2 linked regions of the Ovis aries genome follow. The protein of the gene in region 2 interacts with the protein of the main gene of each other region in a pairwise test. Links are inferred from orthologs where the notes say so. Each region holds a gene or a part of one and is shown on either strand. Other genes may lie near its edges.

Region 1 (2,782 bases), on a different chromosome or scaffold from region 2:
GAAGGGCTTGGGGCCCAAAGCTGGGATGGGCCCAGGCTCCCCGGAGCAGACCTCTGCCAGGACTTGGGGCTCATCAGCACTGTCCACCCCTCTCCCCAGCCCCAGGCACTCACCTGTAGTGCCTCCCTCGAGCCCAGGACCATAGGCCGACACCAAGCCTGGGTCCCCAGCCTGGCTCTGCTCCCCAACTCGGATCTTGAAGGGACTGCCAGGGATATGGGCACCATTGAACTTGACGTCGATGGAGTGGACGCCATTCTCATGGGGGATGAAACGGATGGTGTGCTTGTCTGTGGGGACAGAGGTTGGTCAGTGAGCCTTAGTCTTTTCCCTCCCCTTTCCAGAAGGTCCTAGCCTGGCAGGGACAGGCCAGCTCACCACTGTCCAGCTCGGAGACGTAGCACTCCTCCACTGCACCTGAGGGCGTGTGTACCCTAGCATCGATCACGCCCCGTGCGCCATTCAGCTGCACCGCAAAGGACGCCGGCTGGTTCACCTTGAGCCCGGTCTCCTGCAGACACCACAGAGGGTGCTCAGACTTCTGGGAGGGCCTGGAGGGCTCATGTCTGCAGCCTAGCACTGATATCCCTTCCTGCCCAGCCTGGAGGCTCCCTCCTCCCACCCCCAGCTGCCCCCTGCTGCCTGGCCCAGCTCAGGGAGGCTCTGAACAAGGCTGCGATGGGAGGCAGAGGCTGGGTCTTTGGCCTTGGCAACCACCTGCTATGGGGTGGGGCCACCTGGCTGTGCCCGGCATGGTTGGGGACCAGAGATGATGTGCCCTGTCCTGGCTGGGGAGGTAAGACCTGGATACTATAAAGCCGGCCTGATAGAGAACCCAGTGCTGGGACAGCATTGTGTGGACTGCGAGAACTCAGTAGCTGGGATGGGAAAGAGACATGTGGGCTGGACTGCCCTGGGGGCACTTGATGGAGAAGGTGGGGCTGATTGGGCGGCTTGAGGGCGGGTAGGTCGTGAAGATGAGGCCAGTTCTAGGATGGGGAAGGGGGAGGAGGGACACAGTGGCACCTGAGGCTTCCAAGACTACCCCAAGGGGCAGCTAGTATAGCTAGAGCCCCCTGTTGTCCAAACACTGGGAGAGAGGGGCCATCTGTCTGGACCTTCCAAGGTCACTGCTAAGTCCCTGGTCACATGGAGCTGCCATCCTCTACTCCTGCCCATCTCTCAGGGTGGCAGGAGGGCCTCATCCCCCCCTCCACCCCGGGCACACACCTGGAGGCTGGTGACAGTGAGACGGCGAGCATCATCTGAGAGGGAGGCCACGGGTACCACGAAAGGGCTGTCTGGGATGTGCTCGTCGTTGAACTTGATGGAGACCTCGTAGTCACCTGGGGAGAGAAGACCAGTCAGCGCAAGCTCCAGGACGGGGGGCAGCAGCAGGGGAAACGACCCCACCCTGATCTCAGGCCCGGACAAGCTCCTAGGTCGAGCTCAGCTCTGGAGACACGTGTTCCTGGGGGTGTAGGGTGGAGGGAAATGGGCAGAGAAACTGCAGTGGCCCAGGTGAGGGGTTGGTTTGGGAGCCCCATCTCCTGCCGGGCTGAGCAGAAGCCTGGTCTGGAAAGTCAGGCAGGCCCAGCAAGATGCCCACCTGGCTCCTGGACGACATAGGAGACCCCACATGAGCCATCCTTGCGATCCTCAAATGCAATTTCCGCCTTGCTGGGACCCTCCACAGCAATTGATAGGCCCCCGGCACCTGCTTCTCGGGTCCAGATGCTGAACTCAGCTGGAGACAGAAATGGGACGGGGCAACTCTTAGCACTGTCGCCCATCCTGCTGGCTGTCCTGCCCCCATCCCTCGTCCCGGGCACCCGCCCCCTTACCTGGCACGCCAGCCACCCCTCGCTCCAGCCCTGTGCCTCCAGCCCGCACCTTGTGGGCACCGCCTTCACCCAGCGGCCCCACGGTGAACTGAAAGGGGCTGCCTGGCACATGCTGGCCGCGGTACTTGACAGTGACTGTGTGGGGCCCCATCTCCTGGGGCACAAAGCGGACGCTGTACGCGCTGTCCTCCCCCTCCACGATCTCGGCGGCTTCTGTCTTGCCCGACGGGCTGGTCACCTGTGCAGTCATGTCCTGAGAGCTGGCCTCACCTGCAGGGGGTGGGGAGTGTCAGGGCGACACCGGGGCTGCCCCAGGCCCTCGCCCTTCCCTCCCTCCCTCCCTCAGTAAACACCCCCTCCTCTGCTCAGACCAGCAGCCTCCCCATGCTGTCCCAAGGGACAGAAGGCCCACCTCCCTGTGAAGAGCCCAGCTGGTGCTGCTCACCCTCCTGCTGCCGGGTGATGCTGCCAAAAGAGCCCAGGCGCTCCCGGCCCAGGAAGTCCCCGAAGACGGCGGGGAAGGGGTCTCCGCCAACCTGGGTGGACTCCTCCACCCGCACCTCGCGCTTGGTCTCCCCGCCCCGCGTCTTGCTGATCTCTGTGCGCTCTGTGCGGGTGTATGTGTGGCTGCTGCGGGTGAAGGTGCGTGTCAGGCGCTCCTGGGCGGACACCATCTGGAACCAGTTCCCTGTGGGACAGGTAGAGCCGGCGGAGGGGAGGGAGGTGAGAAGTTAGCCAGAAGGACAGAGGCCCCGGGGACAGGCTCTGGGCCCTCCCCACAGCCCCACCCCACCAGGCTCTTCCGGTGCCCACCTGGGATCTTGAGGTTGAGGTCACAGGTGCTGCCGATGGTGGCGATGGACGGCGCCTGCCTGCGCCGGGTGATGCTTTCCTTCATGCGGCCCTCACCAGTGACCTTCACTGTGAAGGGGCTTCCT
Region 2 (4,289 bases):
TAGTCCAGAAAATTCTAAGTAGGAACCTCAGAGAGTAAAGCCCTGGCAGGTCAGAAGCCTCTATGTCCTTCTCAGGAAGAAGGATATCTATCCAGGGAGAAGTGACATCTGTCCTCTGAGTAGGCTGAGCTGAGCACCCCAACAGCAAATGGGGGTAAAAATGAGGAAACTGGCTCAAGTTTTGCCCCACATCATCCCTGACAGCCTAAGCACTGGATTTGGTTAATTTGGTCCCTTATCCTGCTAAGATCTGGCCCTCCCAGAAGAAAGACTCGCTTATCCAGGAACTTTCACAGGGCACTTAAAACATTGTGAACAGAAATTCCCTTCTCCAATTCCTTAAAAAATTGCAAATAGAACTACCTTATGACCCAGCAATCCCACTGCTGGGCGTACACACCGAGGAAACCAGAATTGAAAGAGACACATGTACCCCAATGTTCATCGCAGCACTGTTTATAATAGCCAGGACATGGAAACAACCTAGATGTCCATCAGCAGATGAATGGATAAGAAAGCTGTGGTACATATACACAATGGAGTATTACTCAGCCGTTAAAAAGAACTCATTTGAATCAGTTCTGATGAGATGGATGAAACTGGAGCCGATTATACAGAGTGAAGTAAGCCAGAAAGAAAAACACCAATACAGTATACTAACACATATATATGGAATTTAGGAAGATGGCAATGACGACCCTGTATGCAAGACAGGAAAAAAGACACAGATGTGTATAACGGACTTTTGGACTCAGAGGGAGAGGGAGAGGGTGGGATGATTTGGGAGAATGGGAATTCTAACATGTATACTATCATGTAAGAATTGAATCGCCAGTCTATGTCTGACGCAGGGTGCAGCATGCTTGGGGCTGGTGCATGGGGATGACCCAGAGAGATGTTGGGGGGAGGGAGGTGGGAGGGGGGTTCATGTTTGGGAACGCATGTAAGAATTAAAGATATTAAAATTTAAAAAATAAAAAACTAAACCTGAAAAAAAAAAATAAAGGCTTGAACTGAGAAAAAAAAAAAAAGAAATTCCCTTCTCCAGACATAGCATCTTAAGCCTTCCCACCCACATGTCCCTCAAGCCCCGGCCTACATTGGCTCTGCATGGCTCTCCAGACACGTTCTGGTTCTCACTCTCCCACTCCGAATTCCTGTCCACCACTTGCTGCCTGCTTCCTCTCTCCCTCTCAGTTTTCAGTTTCTCCCTGAGTGCTTCTCTGGATCTGAGCCTCTAGGTGCCAAGGAAGGGGAGTCCCTGGGCAGAGTGATCCTTGGCTCAGACAGCTTAGTGGGAGAATTCCAAAGGCTTTTCCTACCCTTCCCGAGCCTCTGGGCAAGGAGGGCGGGATCTTGGTTCCAGGGTCTCAGTACCCCCTGTGCCATTTGAGCTGCTTGCGCTCATCATCTCTATTAATAACCATGCTCCCTCCCCCACTGCCAGTGCTGCCCCCACGCCTGCCTAGCTCGGGTTCTCTAGTCACAGCAGCTCAGTCCTCCAGAGCTGCTGGACCCCAGGGAGAGCTGACCACCGCCTGAGCAGCCGGTAAGTCTCCAGCTGATGGCCCAAGGGGCTGGAGCGCCTTCTGTCACTGCTGTGTCTGTGTCTGTAACAGTGACCCTTGATCCCAGGGGAGCTGCCCCCTTCCTCCATCTATACTTATTCCCCAGTTGTCCAGTTGAGGGGGGCCACAGAGAGTTGGTGGGAGAAGGACTCCAGAGGGTGGGGGGACTGAGATGTTGGGGGAGACACTGAAGAAACGGGCAGAGGGGTGGAGACTGAGAGGCTGGGTGGAAAATAAGAACCTAGTTGGGGTTGAGAGGGGTACAGGGAAAGTCCATTTAGCAGTTCCTGGGCTCCAGCTGCAGCAGACCCCACTAAGCAAGTAGAATTGCAGGTGTGTTGTGAGATAGGACTCAGTAGAAGACAGCATTTTGCTGAGACCCAGCTTCTGTGAAGGAGGGGCTGGAATTTGTATCTTTTTCCAGCTTGTCCCCATCTACTGCCAGGTCCTATGAGTATGTTTCTGTCCTCCCTGAATTTTGTGCTGCTGTGATATTGCTGAATTGATATGCATCAAGGTTCAAATGTCCCCTGACCTCCCTCTGCACTCTGGTTCTAGGGTCCAGTCAGGGCTGGGGAGGGCAGGGGGGAGTGACTGAGAGAGCAGAAGCAGAGTGCTGTGACCTCCCAGGCCATGATCCAGCTGGCCCAAGGGAGGGGCAATAACCTCTTCATCCTATGGAGAATGTTTTTGGCTGGATCTCCTCAATGCTGGCAGAACATTTTTTCTGCTCCACCCCCACCTCCCCACCCCTGCCCTGGGGCTTGGGGAAAACTGAGAGACTAGAGCTTGGAATGACAGCTCCAAACTGAGAGACCCATGCAAATAAAAACTTCATATCATGCCAAACCAATGAAATCTGGGTGCATTGCCCTACCTGTAATTTGTTTGTTTTATTCCCAACATAACGTTGTATTCCTAAACTCTGCACCATCTCTGTGTAAAACAGCTGAATAGAGAGGTTGGTAGAAGGTAGGAACAGGGGGTATATCTATACTTTCTGCTCTGCTTCCTAAGAAGAGAAGCCATAAAGCAATGGGTTTTCACCTTTTGTGTGTGTTTGTGAGTCGCTCGGTCGTGTCAGACTCTGCAACTCCATGGGGTGTTGCACGCCAGGCTCCTCCGTCCATGGTCCATGTGATTTTCCAGGCAAGAATACTAGAGTGGGTTGCCATTTCCTTCTCCAGAGGATCTTCCTGACCCAGGGATCAAACCCAGGTCTCCTGCATTGCAGGCAGACTGTTTACTGTCTGAGCTACCAGGGAAGCCTTTTCCTCTGAAAAATCTAATGAAGTGTTTTTCCTGCAAGTCTTTAAGCAGTACCTACTGGGGACACTCACTCTAGACCCTGTCCATCCTTCAGCTTCCCCCTCCCACCCTGTCCAGGCTCCATCCACCTCCACAATGCCGCTCTCAGGGACCCCAGCCCCCAATAAGAAGAGGAAATCCAGCAAGCTGATCATGGAACTCACTGGAGGTATGGCATGTTCGCACCTACCTAGTATGGGACTTCTTAGTAAGAGTATCTCTGGCCCAAGAGTTCCAGAAATATCATAAGGTTGTATATGTCTTAAGGTGAAGAGATATGAAGAGACACGAGGAATTTGGGGTGGTGGTGGGGTTTACAGGGGTGGTGGGGGGTGGAGAACAAGAAAGAATTCAACACTGACTACTCCCCCTTCCACCCTTTTCACCTTGTAATCTGAGACAGTAATATCCCTGCCATATTACCCAGCGCAGGTCCAAGACAACAGGACCCACAGGTCAATGAGGTTTGTTTGAGGAGAAAACATATATGCTGCAGACTGGCACAGAGTAAGGTCTCAATAAGAGCTTAATTTCCTTACTTCTTTCCCCAGAACGAAGGAGCTTTGTCTGAGCACTTAAAACGGAAAATTCCTTGAGCATTTTTCCTGGGGGTAGATGAGCTTTCCTAATACCGAGAGGCTGTTTGCAGCCAGAGTTTATGAGAAGAGAAGGGAAAGAAGTTGAGACAGGAGTCTATATTTAGAGGTGGCCTTTGGGCCTCCCCCCATGCTAGGCTTCCCCAATGTTCTCCACCTATGATGTTTCTTTACTCTTTTGCCTTGTACCCCATACCTCTGTTACGCCATGTACCCTCTCCACGCCACTTTAGTATTCCCTCTGTCTTCCCCTCTACACCCCATTTCCCATGCGTTCTCTCCAACTCCAAACCCAGGAAATCAAAATCCCTCATAGACTAGACAGAATTTAACCAGACATCAGAGACAGCATCTGCTTCCCTCAGTGACCTCCACTGGGACACACACACACGCTTAGTTGCGGATGGCAGCTGCATTTGGAACTAGCAAACCCCACTTTCCTCTTCCCTTGTCTCTGCCTCCCCACCTCCCTGAAAGGTCGACAAGAGAGTTCAGGCCTGAACCTGGGCAAGAAGATCAGTGTCCCAAGAGACGTGATGTTGGAGGAGCTTTCGCTGCTCACTAACCGGGGCTCCAAGATGTTCAAACTGAGGCAGTTGCGTGTGGAGAAGTTTATCTATGAAAACCACCCTGATGTCTTCTCTGACAGCTCAATGGTGAGTTTAGAACTCTACAACTCTTGAAGCCTAGTGCTTCTTCTGACAGTTTCTTGGCAGGCCCAGAGTTTCCAAAATATTATCAACCTCCCCTCCCTGCAAATTTATAAACTCATTAACCCCTCAGATATAGCATGCCTCCAATAGATGGAGGGTGAATT

The links. The genes of interacting proteins can lie anywhere in the genome.
Region 1: the proteins of MYOZ1 (region 2) and FLNC interact in a two-hybrid assay, tested with the Homo sapiens proteins (2 studies listed by BioGRID and IntAct). The link is inferred for Ovis aries from reciprocal best matches to the Homo sapiens genes MYOZ1 and FLNC.

Annotation. Positions count from the first base shown.
Region 1 is NC_056057.1:94,518,957-94,521,738, reverse strand, and holds part of FLNC (filamin-C), read right to left. Parts: intron 2,781-2,782; coding exon 2,658-2,780; intron 2,533-2,657; coding exon 2,290-2,532; intron 2,115-2,289; coding exon 1,845-2,114; intron 1,748-1,844; coding exon 1,610-1,747; intron 1,347-1,609; coding exon 1,231-1,346; intron 512-1,230; coding exon 379-511; intron 291-378; coding exon 114-290; intron 1-113.
Region 2 is NC_056078.1:28,836,339-28,840,627, reverse strand, and holds the start of MYOZ1 (myozenin-1), read left to right. Parts: upstream 1-1,445; 5' UTR 1,446-1,549; intron 1,550-2,931; 5' UTR 2,932-2,972; coding exon 2,973-3,045; intron 3,046-3,949; coding exon 3,950-4,128; intron 4,129-4,289. UniProt on the Homo sapiens protein: Myozenins may serve as intracellular binding proteins involved in linking Z-disk proteins such as alpha-actinin, gamma-filamin, TCAP/telethonin, LDB3/ZASP and localizing calcineurin signaling to the sarcomere.